Linked DNA regions of Lytechinus pictus. The protein of the gene in region 1 interacts with the protein of each later gene in a pairwise test. Links are inferred from orthologs where the notes say so. Each region holds a gene or a part of one and is shown in the gene's direction. Other genes may lie near its edges. The genes, in order: pre-mRNA-splicing factor SLU7-like and peptidyl-prolyl cis-trans isomerase-like 3.

What was found.
Region 2: the proteins of pre-mRNA-splicing factor SLU7-like (region 1) and peptidyl-prolyl cis-trans isomerase-like 3 interact in binary tests that used the Homo sapiens proteins (3 or more experiments, as listed by UniProt). The link is inferred for Lytechinus pictus from reciprocal best matches to the Homo sapiens genes SLU7 and PPIL3.

Annotation. Positions count from the first base shown.
Region 1 is NC_087256.1:22,742,700-22,755,703, reverse strand, and holds the start of pre-mRNA-splicing factor SLU7-like, read left to right. Parts: upstream 1-6,299; 5' UTR 6,300-6,383; intron 6,384-9,486; 5' UTR 9,487-9,512; coding exon 9,513-9,673; intron 9,674-10,875; coding exon 10,876-11,023; intron 11,024-13,004. UniProt on the Homo sapiens protein: Required for pre-mRNA splicing as component of the spliceosome. Participates in the second catalytic step of pre-mRNA splicing, when the free hydroxyl group of exon I attacks the 3'-splice site to generate spliced mRNA and the excised lariat intron.
Region 2 is NC_087259.1:15,882,551-15,895,387, forward strand, and holds the start of peptidyl-prolyl cis-trans isomerase-like 3, read left to right. Parts: upstream 1-6,161; coding exon 6,162-6,167; intron 6,168-6,654; coding exon 6,655-6,782; intron 6,783-7,728; coding exon 7,729-7,837; intron 7,838-9,218; coding exon 9,219-9,337; intron 9,338-9,762; coding exon 9,763-9,898; 3' UTR 9,899-12,837. UniProt on the Homo sapiens protein: PPIases accelerate the folding of proteins. It catalyzes the cis-trans isomerization of proline imidic peptide bonds in oligopeptides. May be involved in pre-mRNA splicing.

The DNA of each region.
Region 1 (13,004 bases):
CTTGTCTTAGCAGTGTCCCGTTTCACAAAGACTTGTTATAAAAAGAAATACATGATTTCTATAACAAATTTACTATCAGCCAATCAGATTGAAGAATTTCAGTAGCTTTTAACTGTTATTGTAAACTTAGTATTGTAGCAAGTTTTATAAAACGGGACCCAGAAGAAAGAAGGCGACATCTCTGCTGACGTTTGAATGTGAAGACACAAGTTATGGTGATAATGATAATGTCATATTTTACCCAGGGTAGCCACTTTAGTTTTAAAAAAATCTTGATCCCATCGGGACCTGCTAAAATGGATAATCGTGTTATTACCTCTCTTAAATTTTGTTGAAATTGTAAAAGAACTCTTGGATAAGAGTTTTACGGTTCAACAGCTTGCAAACATATACCCGCTGTTCTTAAAGTCTGCGCCATAAACAAGATCTTCCTTCACAGTGAACTAACATGTTCCTTTTCTTTTTTTATTTTTCTCCATGTTTTTTCCTCTATCCTTACATGTAAATTTTAATGGGAACATGTGCAAAATACCTGAGGCTTTTAACATTGGTTTATATAAGCTTACTCCATTTGCTTAATACATGTATGTTCCCTGTGTGAATCTTTAAAATAATGAAAAAGAATAAGTATAAGATATACATTATTTCCATTTCACATTTTTTTTATTGAAATAAGGATATGTGATGATAAAATTCTCCCAACTTTATCCTCTAAGAATGAAATATTTAATCACTTGACTCTTGTCAGTGTTTAATTTTTGGCATCATAACACATGTGTTTGAATGATATCTGACACATACAAATACAATTTTGAAAAATAGTGGCTGCAAGATGTTGAAATTCCTGCCATGCTTTCTTTAGAAGATGTAGAACTAGTATCCAAACCTAAACATAGAGGGCGTTCTTTAAAAACTTTCATCTCTTACAACTATGATATATGTATAGGCATATAGTTAGACCTATATGAAAGACATAACAAGTTGTAAGTTTAAATGACAAAATGCTAACCTTTTTGAGAAAGCATGAGGTCAAATATATATTTGATTTTAAAAGCTAGGCGGCATAGTTATATGATTGCTAAATATAAAAAAAAAAACAATGAGGGCTGGCGCAATATATTCATTGATCGTAATGATTGTAACGGGATCGTAATGAACATTATTTGATCCACTGTCGTTGCATCCTGACACTGTTTATAACCTTAACACATGTTTAATAGAATTGACATGAGGCTTATGAATTTGACCAAATTCAGCAAAAGTTTGATCAAGTTTTCCATTTTTTTTTTCAGATTATCATTCAGACTGAAAACAATCTTGCTGGTTGAAGAAAAAAAAAGAAGGAATAATTTGGCAAACCTGGAACTGTATTTGAATTATCCAAGTAATAAGGAATCATCCTTGTTATCATTTTCTCTAAATACATACATATAATTACAATTTCGGGGGGGGGGCTACATTATACAATCTCTCCTTTTCAGTTGGCCCTCCCTTCCTTTCAATTTATATTTTGTTTTGATAATTGTCTATTTTTATATCATGTTAATCTTCATATACTGAAAATATGATTATATGCTACTGAGCAATTGTATAATTATTGTAAATATGAAAAATTGAGAGCTGAAATTAAAACAATTGAATTGAACATTGCCTTCCTTTCAATTTATATTTTGTTTTGATAATTGTCTATTTTAATGTTATGTTAATCTTCATATACTTAAAATAGGATTATATGCTACTATGCAATTGTATGATTATTGTAAATATGAAAAATTTAGAGCTGAAATTAAATCAATTGAATTGAACATTGTAAGTAATCCCTTTTCGATTTTGGTAGATGGTTTGCAAATTCATCTTTATTTGTTTTTGTTATTGATATTTATAAATTATTCTACGGACAAGCTAGACTCTTGCTCTCACCTTGACTTTGATTTGGCTCCTGTCTGCTGTTTGCAGACTCTTTAATTTGCCCACAGAGGAATGATTATATTCAATAGAGCTTGTAGAATTTTGTTAGTTTATACTAGATGCCGAGTTGCTATGTTCTTATAATTTACTGTGGGTTTTGTTTGTGCTGCATTTATTTTGCATGTTGTCGGGTGCTGAAAACGAATGTATTTGTTGCATTTTTTTCCAAATAACTAGTTCAACCATTGAGAAACTACGTGTAGCATAACTTTGCTAAAGAGTATATGGTCTAAATCTAAAACTAACTTTTTACTGAAAACTAATTTTTATATTTTATATGATGTTTTAGCTGAAATCCATGGTCAATAATTAGATAATAATGTGTGTGTGTGGCCTATATCACGTACATTGCATAAAGCCCGGTCAATATTTGGTTTGGCCCTAAGAAAATACAAAAAACTGTTTTGAACAGCTTCTAGTATTTATTTGAGTTACTACTCATCAGAAATAACCTCCAACATGATTCACTATAGACTACTCATGGGGTTGATGTTATTTCACCGAAAGAGACATCATATATCTTATTGATTAGCCAGTACACTGGTCCAATGTGTGATTAATTTGTACTATAATAGTCCCTCTAGTAGAAGAAATACATTTGTATTTTTTTCCATTATAATGATAAGTTCCTGACACTACTGTATAACAAGATAAGTAATTTCAGGCCAATTCAATATTGTAATCCATGTAATTATTGATATGCTTATGATTCACTTTGTCATATATTGTTGAATTTGCTTATTTGTTTAATATTGAACTATTTATCTATTCTTAATACATTGTGTATTAAACAGAATTGTACAGAAATAAACTTCTGGACCCTAGACGGGAGATAATGAGTGATTGTTTGATTATTTTCCAGTGAAATGTTTTTGTTTTAGCAGAAACCAATTTGTTGTCAGACTAGTAATTCTCTAGTAGTTAGAGCTAGGCTAACAAATTTATTTAATCAATTCATTCACATTTTGATACCCCCGGCCCCCTTATGAGACGTGTCCCCATTCTGCCTTTCCGTGACTAAAGAAAGCAATATAGTGCTCCCCTGCAAAATTATAATTGAATGTGGAGGAAAATAAAAGGCATGGGAGAAGAGAGAGAAAGAAGGGAAGGAATGGAAAGGGAGAGGAGACAGAAAAGAGAGAGGACAAAACAAGAATATGAAGAAGAGGAGAGACGATGGACAGGAAAATGAAAGAAAGAGAATGAAGGGAATGGAAAGGGAGAGGCAGGCAGGGGCAGATCCAGGATTTTCCAAAAGGGGGGCACATTTCCGAGGAAAATTTGACAGGCAAAAAAAGAGGCTCTTAACCGAGAAGTAATATTTCGTCCTCGAAAAAAAAAAAAAGGATTTTAACTAAAAATTAAGGATATTTCGCCCCCGAAAAAAAATAAGCAAAAAAAAAGGGTCTCCACTTTTAAAAGGGGCGCACACTTCCGTTTTAACAGCATGTTTACATTAAAAAAAATAATTTTGCTTCTCAAAGGGGGGGGGGGGCACGGGCCGGCTGTGATATAGGAAAGGGAGGAATAGGGGGATAAGGAAGAAAGAGAGAGATAAAAAAAAAAAAGAACCAAAGAAGGCAAATTAAAGCCAGAATAGTTTTGCCCACCCGTGACTTATGAAGCTAAGGCTTTCCCCTAGTTCATCCACGTCCAATTTAAATTTCACATCAGTCTTGCAGCAAGGTGAGCTTGTACATTTTAAAAGCTCAAATTACCTTGAACTTCCATAAAGGGGTACTCTGGGCCTTTTATTCAAAATTTAAAACTAAATAAATAGAGAAGAAAGTATTCAAATCTGATAAAAAATAATGAAGTTATTGGATTTTAAAGTTTAGCAATATTTTGCGAAAACAGTTATGTGCACGTCGTTTTGAATATTCATTAGGTGGGCTGATGATGCCACATTCCCACTTTCCTTTTTCCTATGTTATGTTTTCTTATGGAATCATAATTGTTTCATTATTTCATACATGTTTGAATGATATGTCTCTCTTAATGAAATAAATTGCAGCAATCAATATCTAATGCAATATAAACCAGTTGTCAATCCAATTTCACTACTTCTAAGAGGAAAAAATTGTAGAAACCTTCATTTCACATAATAAAAAAAAAAAATGAGGATATGACATCAATTTGCTTATTGAATATTCATGAAAAAGTGCCTAGAACTGTACAGGAATAAAGCAAAACTTTCATATGTCATAATTTATTTGTTATCTTTGTCCGATTTTGATCAAATTTTCAGTATTTTGATTGCCCAATTTTTTTTTTATCTGTTCAAATCATAATTATCTTCAGCCTGGAGTATACCCCCTTTAATGGTAGCATTACACGCGTACACACCCCCCCCCCCCCCCCCATTTCAATTACAACTAGCTAGTGTTGTAGTAAAGGCACAAACCCTCAAAACCAAGTCATGGTAGCCAAGAGCTAGTCTGCTTTGCAAACCCTTCACTCGAGTTAAGGGTCTGAATTTGCAGCCTATAACGCCTTGTGTACTGGAAGCCCTGATCGCTCAGGATTGAAACAGCATTAAAGTTTTGTATGTGCTATAGCCAGTCTTTGCGTGGAGATCAAAGTTTCGATCAGAGTCTGTCCCTGCAGACTAACCCATGAAAGCCATCGTGTCATTTCAAACTTACAATGAACAGAACAATGAAAGAAAGAAAGAAAGAGAGAAAAAAGATAAGAAGTAAACTGAACAGCTGGCAAAGAAATATTAAAACCTCTAGGTCAGTGAAAAATATAGCAGTTTTTACTATAAATACACAAATTTTAAACTCGCTCCAAATGCGATTTTGTTCAGAAAACTTGACAACCAACAAATTAGTTGTTTACGCACCAAAATGAAGGAGGTCTAGGACAAAATCTCTCCATAATAATTAGAACCCAATTTCAATAAACCTTTTGGCGTTGATTCTACACCCATGTACAAAATATGGATAAAAGTTGGAACATGTATATTTCACGTAGGCCTACTACGTACTGGTAAAATATCTTACACTTAAATTCTAGTTTACTTGTAGTTCAAAATCTCCATGATGAAGAAAAATTGTTATAGGCACAAGTCTCTTTTTATTCAAATCTTCCATCTCATTATTAATGCTTTCTTGAAATTATTGTTAAATAATTCTCTGCCAAACATATTGACACACACACACACAAAAGTTAACATTGTTTAACCCATGTCTTGTCAATTTGAGATGTTAGACTAAAAACAAATACACAGAAAAAAATACAAAGGGTGTACTGGCTATCTGATGCATATAAGATTTTCACTATTCTGTCCAACTGACGAGCCAACTGTTAATTGATACCCATCTCTCATTCTCCCTCGGTTCGAGTTTATTTCAGTCTCTCCCTCTCTATCTCTCTTCCTCACTTGTTAGCTTGCAAGGCATACCCACAAACAAATGAGAAAAAGAACGCACTAGTAAAGGTAAAAAAAAGTATGAATATGATATTTTATTGCCAAAATGTATTTTAAAAAAAAAATTCTGATATCAAGAGGGTTAATTAAACATTTTTCTTGCTCACTTCACTCATTTGCAACTTTTTTATAAGAAAAATAAAATTGTTCCATATATGTTTGCCCCCTCCCCCCCCCCAAAAAAAAGGGGGTGGTGCTCATGTGTGCCATTAGCATGAGGCTTAGTGAATTTGACACAATTTAGCAACACTTTGATCAATTTTTCATTTTTTTCAGATTATCATTCAGACTTTAAACAATCTTGCTGGCTAAAGAAAAGAAAAGATGGAAAAATTTAGCAAACTTCTTACTGTATTTAAATCTATTAAGATATCATCCTTGCTTAATTTTTTGGAGCTTGTTATGACAATGTCAAATTTATTTCAGTTCCAGCACTATCATTATTATATTCATCATAATTATCAGTACTATTGTTATTATCACAGTCATCATCACCATGATAAAATCACTAAAGTGGAAGAAAGCAACAAACAAAATGCAAAAATTGCAGCAAAAATGCCGTGACCAGGATTCGAACCTGGGTTATTGCGGCCACAACGCAATGTCCTAACCTCTAGACGATCACGGCTTTCCACAGTGCTTCGCACGGTGAGTGAGGGGAAAATAGCGTTTATATAACTACGTTGTTGCCAATTTACAAGGCTGAAAGCCGATTTTAAAGACGTAGGAAATATATTGTTATATTTTAAGTTATATTCTATTTTTTCAATTTTAATTCCATCAGATAGTATAGATTTTAAATAAAATTATATATTTTTGGGGTATAAAACCCTTAGAATTTGTTAAAACACATAAACAAAACCTATGAACATAATTATAGATGAAGATCTCCATGCATGATCGATATGCATGATGATGCTTTCCCTATTTATGTCATGTCTGCGTCCGCGACGAATTGCGTATTTGGATCCAATATTTGCCAGTAAGTGTTAAAAATTAATTTTTAACGGAAGCGACATGCTATTTTTAGGTTGATATACCACAGGGAAACTTAGTATTCGCAATTTTGCGTTATTTTCATGATTTATGCCAAAATTATTCCTTCCTTTTTTTTCTAGATTTTGCGCCTGGTCCCACTACTTTCATTTGATGTCTCTAAGTCTAATTGTGGGTCCACTAAAAACTGCCCCCTTTCCTTTAATTTTATTTTTATTATACTTTTGTTTTCCCTTTAAAAATCTCCCTTGGCCCTGCCAACGTGTTCAGTTCCCCCATCTTATTTAAGATGGAAATTTTTTATGTTTTCATGAGCTAGTGCCTGTCTAGACAGCTGGCAGCCGTCTGTTTCGAGGAGTTTTTTAACATTTTTTAATTTTTTTAATTTCTCCTCGTACACAGACGGCTCGCTATCGTGCAGCCACCATTAGGGGACTTACAATGCAAAATCCCCCCGTCGGGGCTCTTCAATTTTTGTCTTTAATGAATCAAACTTATGAAAATTAACGCGACTGAAATGCAAATTAATATTCCCTCTTGGTAATGGTAGGGTGTCTGAAGCCACACTGAAAAGTGTCAGCATAAAACAGGCTAATTTAGGGGGAAATATGGCACATTTTTTCGGGGAAGTTCAGGCTACTAGTACTAGAAAAATGTGATCTGAATTGATTATTAACTTGTGTTTGGCATGTATGGAAAGAGAAAATTCAGGGGCTTCTTTTGACAGTAAGGACAAGTTTATATGATCATTTTAAATAAGGATTTAGAGATAAATTGCAAACCCTTATTTTTGTGTGTGTTGAGATTGCCATTTCTCCATGCGTTTTCTATGGGAAAATGACATTTCTGTTTTGCACAATTTTTTTCACTTTGTCGCAATTTTTCATTGTGATCTGGTTTCCAAATCTTTATAAAAATCATACCATCAGATAGAGCATAAAAAATCCTATTGGACTCTTTATGGACAAGTTTTTGGCATTAATAATAAATTTATAACAGCTCTCGGAAGCTAAAAATTTGGATTTGTGTATGTTCATTTCTTAACTACACAGTCTATGGCAGAGAAATGCTGAAAATTTACCTAATTTCATTCTTCTTTTTTGCAGCCAATAATTGGATTTTTTTCAAAAATGTTACATTTCTGTCAGTCTGAAGGTCATTTCTCTTCAAATTCACAAAGAAAATGTGATATTTTCTTGAAATAAGATAAATAATTTTTTTCTCCAGACACCCTACTCTTGGCATTAATTGCCAAAACACTGGGAAAATCAAGTTAAAAGGAACAAAAACAGTGACTTACCTCTGCTGTCGCGCAACTTCACTGCCCTGTTTTATCCGAACTTAATACACATAAACATATGGCCATTCGTCCCCTGTACAGATCGCGCTAGAACTTCGGTCTCTGTATTTGGTGAGTGAAGCCAACGGAGTTCAGCTGAACAACCAACATAATTAACATAGACCGAAGCTTTTGGTCTAGTGCCTGTCTTGCCTTCTTTAGTTTAGACGGGAATAACCGGCGTCGTTTCTGGGAATTTCTGACATTTGGGGTCAGGACAACTCTGATTCCTGACATTTTACTAGTATCATCCCCATTGGTGAGTGAGCCAACGTAGTTCAGCGGAGCAACCAAAATACAGAGACTGAAGCTTTTGGTCTATGCCTTCTTAAGTTATACGTGACCATATTCCATAATTAAAAGTTTTGTTTTAAACTAAACTTCTAAAGTAATTTAAATAAAACGTCATAATGACATGAATGACAAATGTTTGAAACATATTTTTGTTTACCTTGGCTTTTCGGGCTGGGAAGAGAGAGGAAGAGAAAGCAAAAGTGATATTGTAAAAAAAATCATATTTTTATATTTATTTTTTTTTAACTTTTATGATAACCCCCCCCCCCCCAAAAAAAAAAAAAAAATCCATTTACCAAACTCCCTTAAAAAAATCACCCTCTTTTGTTTGGCCAGTCTAGTGACCCTATTTGATCGATTTTTATGTTTGGGTGGCTGTTGCAAAAGGAACTCTTTCCAGCTTGGAATTTCTGCAATATATTTTGTTCTGAAATGTCTTTTCACAAACTCAAAATGACATTTGCATCAATAATGGTTGACTAATACTTGTCTGTTTTCAATTGCAATATTTTTCAATAGACCAAAAGCTTCGGTCTCTGTTAAATTGGTTGTTCCGCATAACTCCGTTGGCTCCACCCACCAAATACAGAGACCAAAGTTTAATAAAATCTTGAAATGTATTGCTATGTTTTGCTTTGCGCCATGCTTTGCGATTCGACAGATGACAGCCCCGGCCCTGCCCTTCAAATTTGTCTGCTCCAGTGTGCGGCCGTGCACCCATCGTGGCAAGACTTCTATACATGTACGTCCCCCTTTACTCCAGTAAAATTGAAAAATAAAATATGGATTTTATCAAGTCATACATGCATATAATTATAATATATATTATATATTATAAGAGATTTAGTAAGGAAAGTTAAATACCGGTACATACATGTATGAAAAAATATGGCCTTATTCCGTCAAATGTTCAGGTGTGTGCAGTTCCCAATGGCATCGATTTATTTAGTCAGAAAAATAATTCCACTGTACTCTTGGAGATTAGACTAGTCGTAATATCGGCTTAAAACTGGGCGTTGTGGCGTGCGCCTGTAATCCAACGTACGTGAGGAAGTTACAAATTGATGCAGAGGTTCGAACCCTGGTCACGTCTATCGGATGGTGCCATTAAAGGTCGGTCCCAGACGTAAATAATCATATCTGATTGATACATGTCTGACAAAACTTAAATACACACATTTCCTGCTCAAGGTGTGATGTCATCAATTTTCCAATTTTGCATTTCAGCATTTTTGATACCATATTTTGCTAGAGCATGATGAAATACCCCCACTACCGAAATTGGGTGCGAATCGGTCCATGGGGGCCGGAGATATGACCTCATGAATACATAATTAGTCCCACTGAAGTCAATTTATTGGCCTGGTTCCAAACTTTTAGCTCTTTTTTTATCCATTTTTATATGATTCGCTCAATTTCTCTGACATCCTTATTTTTTGTACATTTTGTCACTTAGGAAGTACTGACCAGTAGACCAGTGTCATGTCCTATCAAGGGACAACGCTGCCTTCTGTGGCGGCCATGTCCCAGAAGACGGAGGCCCCGAGCCAAGGGAGCAAACGAGAGGACTGGAGGAAGGCCAAGGAGTTAGAAGAGGCTCGTAAAGCTGGTACTGCTCCTGCTTTGGTTGATGAAGAGGGAAAGTAAGTACAGTAGCCTTAAACAAAAGGTGATTGATCATATAGTTGGTTTGTATCCTTGATCGTTGCACATAACTGTCAATGTAACCAAGAGCTTTGTGTTACCATAACCCAGGTATTCTGTAATACTCCATTTCATTTGGTAAGCTTTTGAACATAAACTGCCTGCCACTTTACGCTCTCTGGAAAGTATGTCATAAAATCTCTATGCGACCTTGAAAAATCAATATCATACATGTATAAAGCATGGGCAAATCCAGGGGCGGTATTCTGAACATCGTCTTCTCTCAATATTGTATCTTTTTTCAGAGATATGAATGAATCAGTAGTCTGGTGGTCAATGTCATAACTTTTGTCATTAATCTTGTTATAATTTTTTCCTCTTATTTTTAGCAAGCACAATTTTTTTTTTTAGAATTCATAAATGCGCATGATGATAACATTTTTGACAGGGTCCACCATTCATAAATTTTGTCATAATAAGTGCCATGCTATCCTGGTTCCTTCCATGCCCACTATGTCAAGCACAAATTGATATGTATTTAGATTAGATTATGGTATACATTTCACACATCATTCATGACTTTCCCAAAATATAATTTTCATGTTACAAGAAGGAATGTCCTACATATTTCTTCCACTTTTCCCCATTTTTTCTCCCACTCTTCTAAAAATCCTTCTCAGTTATTTGTCTGTATAAACTATAATTAAGCTTTATTAACATGCAGTCTTGCAACACCCAGCTACTGTATTGAGGATACACCCTATGTGTACCTGGGCCTTTCTATAGGTTAGGAGAGCTTTCACTGGGAACTAACAATAGTATCGAATGGGCTGTCTGTGAAACGATGGGCAGGAACTTGGAGAGATTTGATAGAGAGAAGACAATCTTCAGGATACAAAGTTATGACAATCATAGCGGTCTCTCAATTTTCAGAATACCACCACTGGATTTCCAAATTAGGGGGAAGGCACTGAAAAGAAAGTAAAGTTCAGCACACATTAGTTGACCACTATTTACACATGTATAAAAATTATGCTAAAAAGGGAAAGAAGATAAAACTGAAGCAGAAAAAAAAAATAGTTAATCGCTCTAAAATCTGACACTCTGCCTAAAAATATATTTAAATCAATCTGCTTCTCAAGAAGTAAAAATGATCGAGATAATTCTGATAAAAATTAATTTTTTTATTCCTGTTCTCTAGGGACATCAATCCACATATCCCACAATACATTGCAACAGTACCATGGTATGTTGGCTTTGACAAACCTACCCTCAAGCATCAGCGGCCTCAGAGATTCAAGAAAGATGTGTCGGCCATTAGTTCCTGGTACAAGAAAGGTGTGGAGGAGGTAAAGTTCTGTCAAAAACTTCTTAGCTATATAAAAGGGAAAGTCTGTATGCAGTACATTTACCGTATTGTATATAAGGTTTATTTCCAATTTGTCCAATTGCCAACTCGTCTACTATCATTTGGTCTACCATCAGTTCGTCCACTCACCGTATGGTCTACTTTCATTTAGTCTAATGCCATTCCGTTTAATAACCAGTTGGTCCAACAGCCAGTTAGTTCATATACCATTTGGTCTAATTAAACTAAAGTATTAATTGTGCAAAATGAAGGAAATTAAATGGGTATTAGACCAACTGGTTATTAGACGAAACGGTAATGGATGAACTGGTGATTAGACAATGTGATGATTGGACCAAATAGTTGTTAGACGAAATGTAGATGGATGGAATGGCATTAGACTAAATGAAGGTAGACCATGTGGTGAGTGGACGAGTTGGCAGTGGACGAATTGGCAATTTACTATATATAATGGGGGACTATTCGGTGTGGGATGTTTGTTACAAAAAACAGGGTAGGAAATAATTTTGATTTTAATGGGCTATCTTTATTTTCCACTTTGGGGGCATTTACAGAATTTTGGGGCTATTTTTTTTCCGTCATTTTAAGTACTACTTTTTAGGGGTAACAGGCAATTGTGCAGTAATAGCAAGTAATATCATTATTCTGCCATAATCAGAATATTGATTTTCTGAGAATTCTTGAATCTTGTTTGTGACAGATCTTGGCGTGACCTGGCGTGTGGTGAAAGAATATTCACCCCAAAGCATGCATGGGGGGATTTCAGTCAGACTGCAGGTCCCAAGAAAGTGGCTTCTTTCATCCAAGTGATATTCATGACTTGAGATGTTTTGCATATTTAATGAGCTTGATGCGGACCAAAACACCTCTTTTCATTCGGTCATTGCTGCTCTAATTATGCATGGAATTTCATGAATTTGGTACCATTGTAAAGAAGAAGAATCATTCTTTCAGGTCATGTGTTTGGATTTATTCAAAGATTTTGTAATATAGGTTAAAATTTTGATCTAAAATATGCTACAAAAAAAATATTTTCACCTGACAAAAGCTGCTTTTTTCACACTTTATTTTTGTTTGAGCCCAAATGATTTTTATATCATGATAAAGCTGAATATGTATGCTTTGAAATGATATAGGTTTCAAAATAAGAATCGGTTTAATCGGGTCAAGATCACACTTTTCATTTGCCAAGTACATAAAGCAGCTTGAAAACAAGTATACTGCACTCTGATTGGTCAAAAAGACCACACAATGGCAAATTCCAACGGTTCCAGTGCTTGGGTTCGTGGGAAGGTCACACTTCCCATGTGGTAATCTCCTCAAATACCCCGCGCCTGTTGTTCTGTGAACCTTATCCAGCCAATCAGAACTCTGGATTTCATGCAAGTACAAAATTTCAGAAATCTCGTCTTGTACCTTGGTGGGAAAAGTGTGATCTTGACCCGATTAAAAGGTGCCGCATATCAAAAGTGGCATTGTGAGAAAGTACAGAAGTTCAGCTTTATGGTGATATAGATATCATTGAGGCTCAAAATAAAAAGTTTTGCACAATTTGCAAAAGAAAACAGAGGAAGAAAATTCAGTTTTGAGGCACAATTTCAGGCCAGAAATTTACTTATTTAACAAAATATTGTATACAAAATAAATGACCAATATGAAAGAGTAACTTTAACTCTATCTGATGGTGCAATAATATTTCATTTAACTTGAGGTTAAAACAGGTAAATTCTTAGAGAAAGAAAATCTCACGAATCACGAGATTTTGCAAGGAGGAGGATTCAGCCACGAGATGATTTGGATGAATCTGGCCTTTTTGCTCATTAGCATAGGGACCTGCGGTCTGACTGGATTTTAGGGGCAATTTGGGCTATCATGAGGGCGAAATCGCCCGTTGCCCTCATGTATATCCAATGCTGCAAAAACTGCCACCGGACATTCTTTAAATCACACATCACTGACAG
Region 2 (12,837 bases), on another chromosome or scaffold:
GACTTCTAAAATTGCGTAAAAATGACTGATGTGCCATAATCGTGAAACCATGGGATAGTCCTAAGCACAAAATGACGTGTCTTGAAATACTTATCAGTGATTTATGGAACTTTTTAGGTGAAAGTGTACCTTAGTTTTTAAAGTTTGTTTTTCGGATGTTTACTTATTGTTGCACCACTATCTAATTATGTCACTAACTCTTGTAAAACATAATTTTCATGAGTCTTAAAAACAGAGACACCAAAATAGTGGCAATAGATGGGATATGAAGTATTGTCGTTTTTGTATCAATGGTGGCCAATTCGAATGTAATTTTTGGAGCGTTCTTCAATTTCTTTACAAAATGGACAACGGTGTATCAATGTAATTCGTCTTAACCTATATTATCTGACCCTTGAAATCATGAGAAAGACACAAAAATGTTTCTAGGTAAATAGTATATGCACTTTGCAGCAAAATTTTTAAGAAATAACTATTTTTTAAGCCATCATCATTTTTTTTTGCCAAACTGCACCACTGATAAACCTTTACATTTTTCCGATGTAATTTTTCCCCTTTGGAACCATAATTTTTTATGTTTTATTTCATTCTCGGTAGACCCCAAAGTTATTTCTACCAGGTGGACATTATATGAATTTGGACCATTTCAAAGATACAACGTCCAGACGTCCATTATAGACGTCATTTTGGAAGGTCATCTTGGATTCTCTGACAAACTCACTGACTATCTTGTAAACATGTCCTGATTCATTATTTGCCTTGAAAGCATTTTGATGATTTAGATTTTGATTTTGAGGATTTACTTTATTTTTGGAGTTGATGGTACAACGACTGCCGTTTTGGATGCTATGTTGGATTTCCATGTAACCTTGACGACCTTTTGTAACTATAACCTGTCTAAATAGACTTTGTTTAATCCTAACATGCCTAAGTTTCATAAAATAGACATCTACTGTATACCCTAAAAGTAATTACATTTAAAAAACTCAGTTAATATTTGATGTTGACTTTACCGTCGCCATGGTCATCGCCGCCGTCGGAAAAGTGACGTCCATGTCTTGCTTCTGCTATGCAGGCAATGAAAAAATGGCGGACATGTTAAAGATATCACAATGTGAATATGCCAGCATCGCCCCAAAATGATTAATCATTTGGCCATATTATTTATCAATCAGCAGCTGTGAATCATGGCAGCCATCTTGTAAATAAAGATGGCTGACGAATCAATCGGACACATTATGTTTGCAACCCTGGGTATCAAATATAACGCATATATCCCAATTTCTGAAATACAATCACCCATAAAAATCGTTTAATATGGGAAACTGCATTAAAAATGCCGCCATTTTGTTTTTTGCCGATTTGAGGATAAAAACGTCGGAATCAAGTTTGGCAAACAGCATTTTTGGATTCAGCACCCCTGAATTACCTTAAAACAATTGATAAATCAGCATTAACACAAAATGCCTAAAGCACTTTTTCTGAGCACATTTTTTAAAATCTGGACCTGACTATTTGGGAAATCAAGGCCATTTGAAGGCTGTGATTACTTTGTTGAATGGTCTTGGTGCCCCTCTTATATTGGTCTTGGAGATTTGTTGCACTTTTTTATTATCTTTTCTCATCTTTGCTGCAACATAAATATGTGCCCTAGTTTATAGAAAAATGGCCTTGCCCTCCTTGCCCTATAAATATTGAATTTTAAGACCTTGATTTGACAGGTCCATGATTTGACAATAGGTATTGATCAAGGATGAAAATTCAGGTCTCCCCAATCTGTGTGTGCAGCAAAATGACAGTCATATTATTTTATCATATGTTACTTGGTCTTTAATTGTAAAATTTGTCATCTTGCTTTTCTGTATGAGTTCAGTGTTTTCAAAGTGTAATGCAGTTGTTTTATATTACGATATATTTAAAAGAGCCGTGGTGTAGTGGTTCTGACTTTGTAAACAGAGGGTCGTGTGCTCGAATCCCACCGCGGTCTAGCGTTCTTTGGCAAGGTATAAATCCACACTTTGCCACTCTCGACCCAGGTGCTAAATGGGTACCCGGTACATGTAGGATGTGAAAGTCATTGTAGGTTGTCCAGTACTGTGTGCACTCCAACGGTAACTGACTGTAATACTCCCCAGGGAGTGGAGGATGTGCACACATTGTGTGCGGGAATGACTGATTGAATCCGATAACTGGGTAATAATCTGTAAAGCGCTTAGACATGTCGTTCGGATCGATGTATTAAGCGCTATATAAAAGCGGAATATTATTGATATTATTCACTGGACACTCAGGTGTCTGAATTAAGGAAAGGTAGACAGTTACAGGATTATTTATGAAAAGTGCTCTGTAATGCCTAGTCTACCTTCTTGGCCCACCTTATACTGTGCTGCATGTACAAGTACGGTAGTGGGATAAAGATTGTCAGTACCACATTCATACTTTGTGCAATCTGGGCCTCGTCTTTCAAATAGTTACGATTGATCCAATCAATCGTAACTATGAAAATCCATCAGTTTCATAATTTTTTCTGCAGGAAATTTGCACAATGTCCTTTGTAAACACAGGAGAAACACACCAAATTGTCAAAAAGTTAATGAATTTATGAATATACATCATATCTAGTAAAATTTTTGAACAAACATGCATTTTCTATGTTGACTCTGTTGGCTTTCCATAGTTGTGGTTAATTGGATCAATCGCAAGTCTGACAGGCCCCAGGTATACAACCTGCAGACAGTGTATGTAGATTATCTGATAGCCATTATCTTAAAAAATTGCAAGGACTAGTATCAGATAATGAAGTTTTATTATTGTTGACTATTAGCACAAGTGGATGTTAAACCAAACGGCAAATAGACCAAAGTTATACACGTAGCCGTCATGGTGTTAAATGATCGAGCATAACCCAAACTGGTAGTAGACCATGCGCTGATTGGACCAAATTGACAGTAGACCAAATATTTTATTGGTAATGTAATGTACATGCAGTAATGGACAATATGTGAGTTAGACCAAAGGCTATTAGACTAAATGGTGATTGTACATGTACATGTACCTAAGGGCAACGTGACCAACACCTGTATAGGTGTTATAACCAGGATGAAGTAGTAGACCAAGTGATAATTGGGCCAATTGGCTATTCTACTACATTGAGAGTAAATCAATGGATTTAGTGATTGGGCTTTGTATCAATAGATGATCTGTGGAATAGGTATAGGCCAAGTGGTAATTGGACCCCAAAATTGGACCAAATTGCAATATGACCAACAGAGCTCTATATTAAGGGAGTACACTGTATGATCTGGAAGTAGACCAACTGAAAGTAGACCAAGTGGCTCTGATTATTTATCATGAGGCCATCTACTTTTGCATAGATTTATAACATGGTGATTGCCTTTTGAACTTCATATTAATTTCTCACCGTATAATAGTCAAGTATACAAAAGGAAATTACACATGGAACCCAAATGTGTACAGGCAAATGTTGGATGTGCATGTACATTTACTCGAATAGCAAAATTTTAACATTTTTCCCCATCTCATGCTTTTTTATCATGATGATAGTGGACCCTCGAAAACAATTGTATTCCCTTCCAGTATACATGAGATCTTTCAAGCAATGTATATTTTTATTGAGTTAATTAATGCTCAATTAATTAATTTTACTACAGAATAAAGCAGGCATTAGTAGAAATCTATAATAGACATGTTGTTACCTCAGCCACTCAAATTGCATTATCATTCGCTTGTAATCAGTATTTTGTAATGGACCATTTATTCTGATTATAGCTTATATTCAATACAAAAATATGCAGTATTAAGTAACAGAATGTTGTGGTAAATGTACAACTTTTTGTATGTTTATCAGCTTGAAAATGGGTTATTATGAACAATAAAAAAAGTTGCTCCCCCCCTTTTTCAAAATACCATCATGTTTTAATGATATGAGTCATGAGGTCATAATGAAATATTCTGGGAGAGATGTCTTTGAAATCATTGATCAATTCCCGCGTGCAGATCAAATTAATCTGCCTACTCTTAATATACAAGAGGATGCATAAATGATGAAAATTGCATTTTTAAAATTCAAAAGGGTCATTTTGTAGAATTTGTCATTCCAAATGTTGACTACTCTCTTTTTGGTTTATGATTGAAAAGCACAATTATTTATGCCCCCCCCTCTACTGGCACATGCTGAAGTTCAATGAGCTTAATTGAAAAAAATGCCAATCTTTCCTAAATTTTGAAATTGTAAAATCCATTCAGTTGATCGCAGAAAAATGAAACTGGATATTTTTATCAGTAATCCTTTGTATCTAAAAAATTGTAGGGACATTAGACTGAGGTTATAACACTTTCAAGGTTGATTCAAGCACACCTAATGCTTTGATTTTTGTAGTGTTATTTATTCCTTATCAAGGAATCCCTGTAACTCTGTGACAATTCTGCTGTTAATGCATTTTAATTCGGTGGATTAACAATATAGTGCACCTTCTATCGGTTGCAGCGAACAGGCAAAATTTCTAACTTTGGGGTCGACATCGCGCACAGGCCCATGCAGCGCGTAGTGCTAGTACTTCAAAAATGAAAACCAAATGCCACCATTTCACCAAAAACAGTCTAAATTTTGCAAAGAAATATGCGGGCAATTTCTCTCCTACCTCCTGGACCCAAGTAAATAGCATGTCCGGTCGAGCCGCGTCGGCCAGCGCTGAATAATCGCATGTATGCATTCACTTTAGTACTAGCGTGCTTAACAGATAGATGGCGCACCGTATTGTGAAGCCACCAAATTCATGCATAAATGTAATGGATTACTGAGACTTTTACACAGAAGGTAGTCAGGGGGGGTGAGTGAGTCAGGCCTTTGACATTATAGCAACTGATCATGAGGCGGATTTATACAATTAATTGCATTGCTCATTGTATATGACCTCGGTCCCGTCTTACAAAGAGTTACGATTGATCCGATCAATCTCAAGTACATGTATATAGGGAAATCCAGCGATGTCATAATTTTTTTCGTTAGGAAATTTGCTCAATGTCCTTTAAAAACAAATAAAGCACACTGAATTGTCAAGAAATCAGTAAATGTATGACTATACATCAAATCTTGAATGTATTTGAAGGAACATGTATTTTAGATGTTGACGTTGCTGGCTATCCATAGTTGTGATTGATTGGATCAGTTATAACTCTTTGTAAGACGGGGCCCAGTTGTAAAATCTGTGTCATGATCACTTGCTTACTAAGAGTTTTATGTTACATGGCACACAGGAACACAATACTACCACAATATATTCTAATCATTTTATTAAAAGCCTACATGTACGTGTAATGGTATTTTTGAAAGAGGGTTGACCTTTTATTGAACATTGTTTGAATTTTCATTCAATGTAGTATACATGTAAGTGGCAAAGTGGATGATATATATATTTTTCTATTGTGTACACAATCATAGCAATCAGTGGAATGTGTGTGGAATATTGATATGGATATTAAACCACAGAGAAGACAGTGATGTTGTTTTTGTAATTACTGTTTTTTATTTGACCTATAAGTGTAGGACATATGCATGTATTGAGATACATGTACCATTGATATTGTTCAATTTTCTGGTGTAACGTAACGTTTGTAAATGACATACCTTTGTTCATGTAAGCTATTGGTAAAATGATCATACTAACATGTCATGGCATACATAAGGTTCTGTTGGAATGAGAGAGAGAGAAAGAGACAGACAGACAGAGGGCAATCAGGGAGAGAGAGGGGGAGAGAGAGAGAGGTTTGCGTGGAAGAGGGGGTAGATAAATACAAATTCAAAATAAAGAGCTATAAGAAAAAGAAAGGAAAAGAAAGAAGGAAAGGAAATAAACATTTGAAAGTTATGAATAATATGAGAAAAAAGGAACGGCAAGAAAGATAAGGAAACAGAGGAAGGATGATAGAAAGAGAAAGAAAAGAAAGTGGTGATGGATAAGAGAAAGAAAGGAAAATGGAAGTATTGTAGAAATGTAACAAAAATGAAGGAAAGATGGATATAAAAGAAAGAAAAAACTAATTACAAGAAAGAATGAATGAAGGAAAGAGTAATTTGTTTTAACTCCCTTTTCATGGTGATTGATTTTGCCACAAGTTGAACATATCTCATGAACTCTATCATGAGTGTAAGGAGGGGCAATAATCATTAACCCCTGCCCCTAAAAAAAGCAAATTAAATTTTGAAACCATATTCTACCCTCCTTCATTAAAATATTTAATCTGAAGCTGCCATTTTCCAAGATTTATCAGATATTAAGATTTTTATGGGGATTCAGTTGATTTGTCTCGCATTAGAAAATTCCTATTGCTGATTACGATAACAAATAAGCAAATTTCAACATATCACAAAGGGATTACAAGTAGAGGCAATACTAGTAGTCGACCCTTATTAAAAAATATCCTAGATTAAAAGTTGTATTTGAACCCCTACCTTGCCCAACCCCACCCCATCAAAAAAGAAAATAGGTAAATAAAATTTATTTGAAAAATATGCATGTAACCAAACACTAGTTAAACTCAACTTACAGTGAACTTGCTGAATATATTTCTGTTACAAAAACACATGATGAATACGTTTATGTTTATTCATCTCTCTCTTTTCTTGCTTTCTAGTCGGTGACACTCCACACAGATGTTGGTGATATCAAGATAGAGTTATTTTGTGATCAGGTGCCCAGGACTTGTGAGAACTTCTTAGCATTGTGTGCCAGCGATTACTACAATGACTGTCTCTTTCACAGGTAAAGTACCTACATGTATGTGGTCTTGATATTTCAGAAAAGTTAAAGCAGTCCTTCGCTTTTCAATTTTAAAGCCTGTTTTTTAGTTTTGGGAAATGCCCAAGTAGTTCATGTGCCATTATTCCAGTCAATTATGATATATATGAATGGGCATGCCCTAAAACAGATCTGGCGCCTGTTGCATAAAAGAAAAACTCTGGCAATTTTTTTTTGCCAGAGTTTTTCAATGTGATATTGTCAATGGCACAATTTTGTCTGCCAGAGTTTTTTATGGCACAAGTTTTATGCAACAGGACCCTGATAAGGAGGTTTGATCTAATAAAATGTTTTACTGCTTAAATTTTGCGATATTACATTAATATAGTACATGAATATTTTGAATGGGTGCCATTCAAAAGGCTTGTACCGCCGAGTTGGATGAAATCACGTTGAGTTATGGGGAGCCCACCCTTTTGTCCAAAGCCTCCCCCCCACCCTGGTTTTGCCGAAATGGTGCATTGGGACTTTCTTTGAGATTCTGATTAGTTTCACTGAGTTTTTTTATTTATATAATTTTCAATCAGCCATTTCAAATAGGGCATCATCCGGATCAGCTTATTACCACTTGGTCTACAGCCAGTTAGTCTAATAGACAGTTGGTCTAACATTTTTATTATTATTATCATCATTACTATTATCATTATTATTATTGGATTATTATAGTAGATTGCGAGACAAATGAATACCCTCTAGCGATTATTTCAGTCCGCAATAATGAACCTATTTAGTATTATTATTATTATTGTTATTAGTAAAAGTATTATTATTAAAATTGTTGTCATTGTTGTTGTTATGAGGAAAATCAATTTTCAATGTCATACCATCCTCTCACTATTGCAAAAGCGAACTAACCAAGCAAGAGCACTTCTTGATATTTATTTTGCTATTTGTTTTCTTTTTTTCCTAGAAATATCCCAGGCTTCATGGTACAGACGGGGGATCCAACAGGAACCGGGAAGGGTGGAACTAGCTGCTGGGGAAAGAAACTTGAAGATGAACTCGATGATGATTTAAAGGTTAGTTAATAGCCAAACAGAGAACATTTGCTATATTGCCACTTGGTCATCACCCACTTAGTCTACTTTCAGTTCGGTCCCATCCTACGTGGTCTAATCTCAGTTCCTCTACAACCAATTTGTCTACTAGAACCATTTGGTGTAATTGCCATTTCGCCCATTTACCATTTTGTCTAATTCCAGTATTACTATATCTATCTTATCCCCAATCACCTGGTATACCACAAATTTGTGTATATAGGCTGTGATGCACCAGCCCGAGTTTGCTCAATCTCGAGATTTTAGCACGATCAGCCCTCTTCGCGATTAATCTCGAGATTCAAGAAACCTCATCTCCTCCAGTGCAAGAAGAGCAATTCGTGCTCAAGCGAGGCATCGATGCATTGTAGTCTGACGCCGTGAATGACTAATCTCGAATGTGTCTGCACCTGTGAATTAGCGGGATAATTTGAAAATAGCACGCTATTTTGAAAATAATCCCAAGTTGACTGAGGATTGCAATCTTGAGATTAATCCAGCGAACTATCACGATGATCGCATCTCCATTACAAATAATCTCGAGACTGGATAATTTGCCGGATCAGAAATAGCGTGATTATTTGAAAACTCGGGCTGGTGCAGACTGCCCTCATGATTAGCTAAACTGTTTATGAACCAAATTTTCATTTGACAAAGTGAAAAATAATAAGCAGACTAAGTGGACTTTAGATCATTTGGGCTTTAGACATGATGATAATTAGACTATAAGTAGGCATTAGGCCAAGTGTAGTGTCAACTGAACAGCAATTGGACCAAACTGGTAGTAGACCAAATGGGTCTTGCCCATGTGGTATCTTGATTGTTGATCCTTTTTTGACAATTTCTTCCAAAATTTAATCTGTACCAGAATTTATTTTTTATAAAATTTGGATGTAAAGATCAATCAACAGATTTCAGAAATTTAATAGATGAGTATAATTTCAGGTTACTTGGTGAAGGTCAAAGGTCATTTCAGATCAATTAACTCTGATTGATATTTTATTCATTATTTAAAAAATACTTAAGAATGCTAAAATAATAAAAAACATTAACACATTTTAAAAATACTAATCAAACTACATGAAACACAGATATTGTTATTTGATATGAAAAATAGTATAACATGAATAACAAGTTTGTCAGTCAAGGTACATGTGAAAGGTCATTGAGGTCCACAAACTTAGTATTTCATTATCCAAATTAATGTTATTTTCTCCCCTTTCTTAAGAATAAAAATAATCATCTTAGTTGCTGTCAAAGTCAGCACTGCTGCTATGTTGAATCGTGTAATGCAGACGAGCCTGCCAGAGGCATTCCATTTGTTTCGTATTATCTCTCCATGTCCCTTGTTTTTATCTTCCAGCATAATATACGAGGGGTCGTTTCCATGGCGAACAATGGACCAAATACCATTGGGTCACAATTCTTCATCACGTATGGAAAGCAGCCTCATCTTGACATGAAATACACCATCATTGGAAAGTAAGAAAATCTTAATGATTTTTTGTTTTCATTTTATTTATTTGTTTTTCATAATCTTTTGGACCTGATATTACCATCGTGATATGATGAATAGTGACCCATATTTATCAAATTACAAAGCATTATTGAAATAAATATAGAAGAAAGTTCTCACAACTAATTAAATATGAAGTAATACATTTCTTAAATCTATCCATGTTGGGAGCTAAAGGAAATATGTTGGGAGAAGTGAGTTTGAATCATCTACAGTATGTCGATTGATGCAGATATATTTTCAATATTTCTTATATGTATATACTTGAATGTTAAATATCTAATTTATACACTAATAATATGAACATTTCCAATATTCATCACCCCTTTCATTTTGTATCAAAGTCATATGTAATAATGATTCTTTCTTTGTCTGTAATTCTATTTGTCAGAGTCATTGATGGCCTAGAGACTTTGGACGAGCTTGAGAAGTTAAGAATCAACGAGAAAAACTTCCGACCTCTGACAGAATGTAGAATCAAGACAGTTACAATACATGCCAACCCCATAGCTGATGACGCATCATAGCGTCTCATTCTGTAGTGTTAAAAGGTATTGGATAAAATTCTTAAGGTATTATTTTGAAAAAGTGTTGTATTTACTGTTGTTCATATAAAAAATAAAAAAAAACAACAACCAGGAAGATTCAGACACTTTAAAGATATCTGTGACTGAATAATCATCATTTTATTAATCCCCTGTGGAGACTAATGTACCACATATCAGTATATGGAATAAAGTTTGGATGGTGTTTCAGGGTACCGTCTTACAAAGAGTTAGGATTAATCCAATCAACCTCAACTATATGGAAATTCATCTGTGTCAATTTTTTTCTACAGGAAATTTGCACAATGTCCTATGTAAACAAAGAGGAGCACACTGAATTTTCAAGAAAATGATGGATGTATGAATATACATCATATTTAGAAAATATTTAAACAAACATCATGAAACATGTATTTTAGATGTTAACGTAGCTGGCTTTCCATAGTTGTGGTCGATTGTAACAATTGCAACTATTTGTAAGACAAGGCCCTTGTCACTGGTCGTGTGGTTAGAGCATTGGACTCATAATCGCAAGGTTGTGAGTTCCAATCCCGACTCTATCATTGTCTCCACTTTCATAAAAAGACAGAGAGTAATATCTGTCGTCTATAACGTCAGCCACTATGACTGATTAACCTAGACGTAAAATGTTTCCTAGGTAATTGGTTATATACCAGCTTGGCATTTACCAGCAATTAAAGCTGCCCTGCGGAGTTCCTACGGGAGTTACCATCAACAGAAACTTTATTTTCACCTTTTTGAAGCACTAAATAATGATTTTCAGGTGCAATTTTCGCAGGGCTTCACTTTTACAACATATCACAGACACAGGTGATAAGTTAGTACTTGCAGCTCATGCTTTTAAGAATCAAATCAATCTTAACTGATGCCTTTAATGAATATTACATTTTTATTTTAGATGTCTAAAATACGGCGAGAACCTGTGAAATGTGTATAAAGACAATCTCAAAGGTACTAGAAAAGTGGCCTTTTATTCACAGAAACATTACTTTCAGATTAGCAGTTTTTATTCGGGAACGGCACTGCATTTTTGTTTTTCACTTACATATCATGCTCCTTGTATAATCGCAGGGATCCCAGCTAATCAGGGAAGTCTGTGAAAATTATTTTACCATTTTTTCCAGTCATGGAAAAGTGAGGGAATTTGGTAAAAATGACTCGAATTAGGGAAAAGTCTGGGGATTTTGATCCTCTTCAAAAGTGTAGAACAAGCTTGTAGACAGAATGTGGAAACAAGACCATGAGTGGGACAAGATAATGAAAAGAAAGTGTCTCCTAAAGATTGGTCTAATTGTGAGTTGTTTGGTTTACTTTTTCATCAGGGTTGTTTGATTTAAATCATGTCGATTTAAATCATGATTTAAATCGCGATTTAAATCACTTGATTTTTTTCAAAAAAATCACTGATTTAAATCAACTTTTATGAAAAAAATTATTTTTCTCTATTTTCTCTTCTTCTTAACAGATACTTTAAATGTAATCATTTTCATTTCTGTTCCACATGCTTTAGAGATACTTTAAAAGAATGATACACCCTCATGGAGTCTGATTTAACACCACTGTTTTATTTTCAAATTGTAAAACAAGCAAAACTGATGAAAACAACAAGTTTCTAACGAAGTAATGATAAATAACTCTCTGTATGTACACCAAACTGTTAAATCTTCAATAAAATAATATATAAAATCTACAAAGGTGCTCAAAGTCCACAACTTGGATACTTTTACAAAACAGCTGAACTACTTATATGTACCTCCTTCTTGTTACTATTAATACCCATTCTTTCAATTACTTAAGTTGAAGGCATATGTGTACATTTGATAAGAATTACATGTATTTTTGCATGCTTGTGTATTTTCTTTTCTTATACATTCAATTACACAATTTCAAAGTACACATGTATACTTAATAAGTAAGAATTTAAAAATGGGAAAGTTGCTGGGCAAGTGTTACTGTATGCAGCAATACAACTGCTGTGCTTGCTTGTTCATGTAATAGTTTGAAAAAACAGCACATCAATGATGTGGTGGACAGTGGTGCTTATCCTACAGGCCTTTAATAATGTCAATTTTGTTAGAAATTCTCAAGTTCTTTGAGTACTTCATGCATTGGAGTAACACTTCTGATGTTTTGAACTGACTGATATAAAAATTTCAAGAGTTTAAATGTATACATAATACATAACATTACTTGGGCTTCCATAAAATGTACCTCTCTATAATGCAAATAAATAAAAAATAAATAAAAAAAATTACCTGTATATAAGTGGATTATTGTGTCAAATAGTACAATACACAATGTTCAAAAGACTACTTGACCACTATTATTGGTGTAAAACAGTGTAAATATAGTTTAAAACTTGTTAAGTGTGACCATTTTTTTTCTTTGGAAAAAAATAAAAAAAATCTGATTTAAATCATAAAAATCCGATTTAAATCAAAATAATCCGATTTTTTTGATTTTTTTTAAAAAATCCAAAAAATCAACAACCCTGTTTTTCATGTAAAGACACAAAGAGCATTGAATTCAGTTGGGTAAGAAAGACAAAGTAGAAAAATTGTGGTATTCAATTCACATTTATTTCATTTTCAATTTTCAAAATAATATAATATAGATGAGATGAGGGTTATTAATAAATGGCAAGTAGCTCAAATTGGTACATGCCTCAGTGGTAGGGGACCACACTATAATCGAAGAAGGCTCATTAAATTTCTTCATTCTAGTTTGAGCGAAATTTATGAGAGCCTTCTTCAACTTTTCTTTGAATATATTTTGTAGTATTTTCTTTCCTTGATGGAAAACATATAAGTGTTTTAGCCACATATGTGATGGGTACAGCATCATATCAATCATTAGAGTGACTTTTCTTTAATTAGTTTGTTTATTATTTTCTTGTCTTG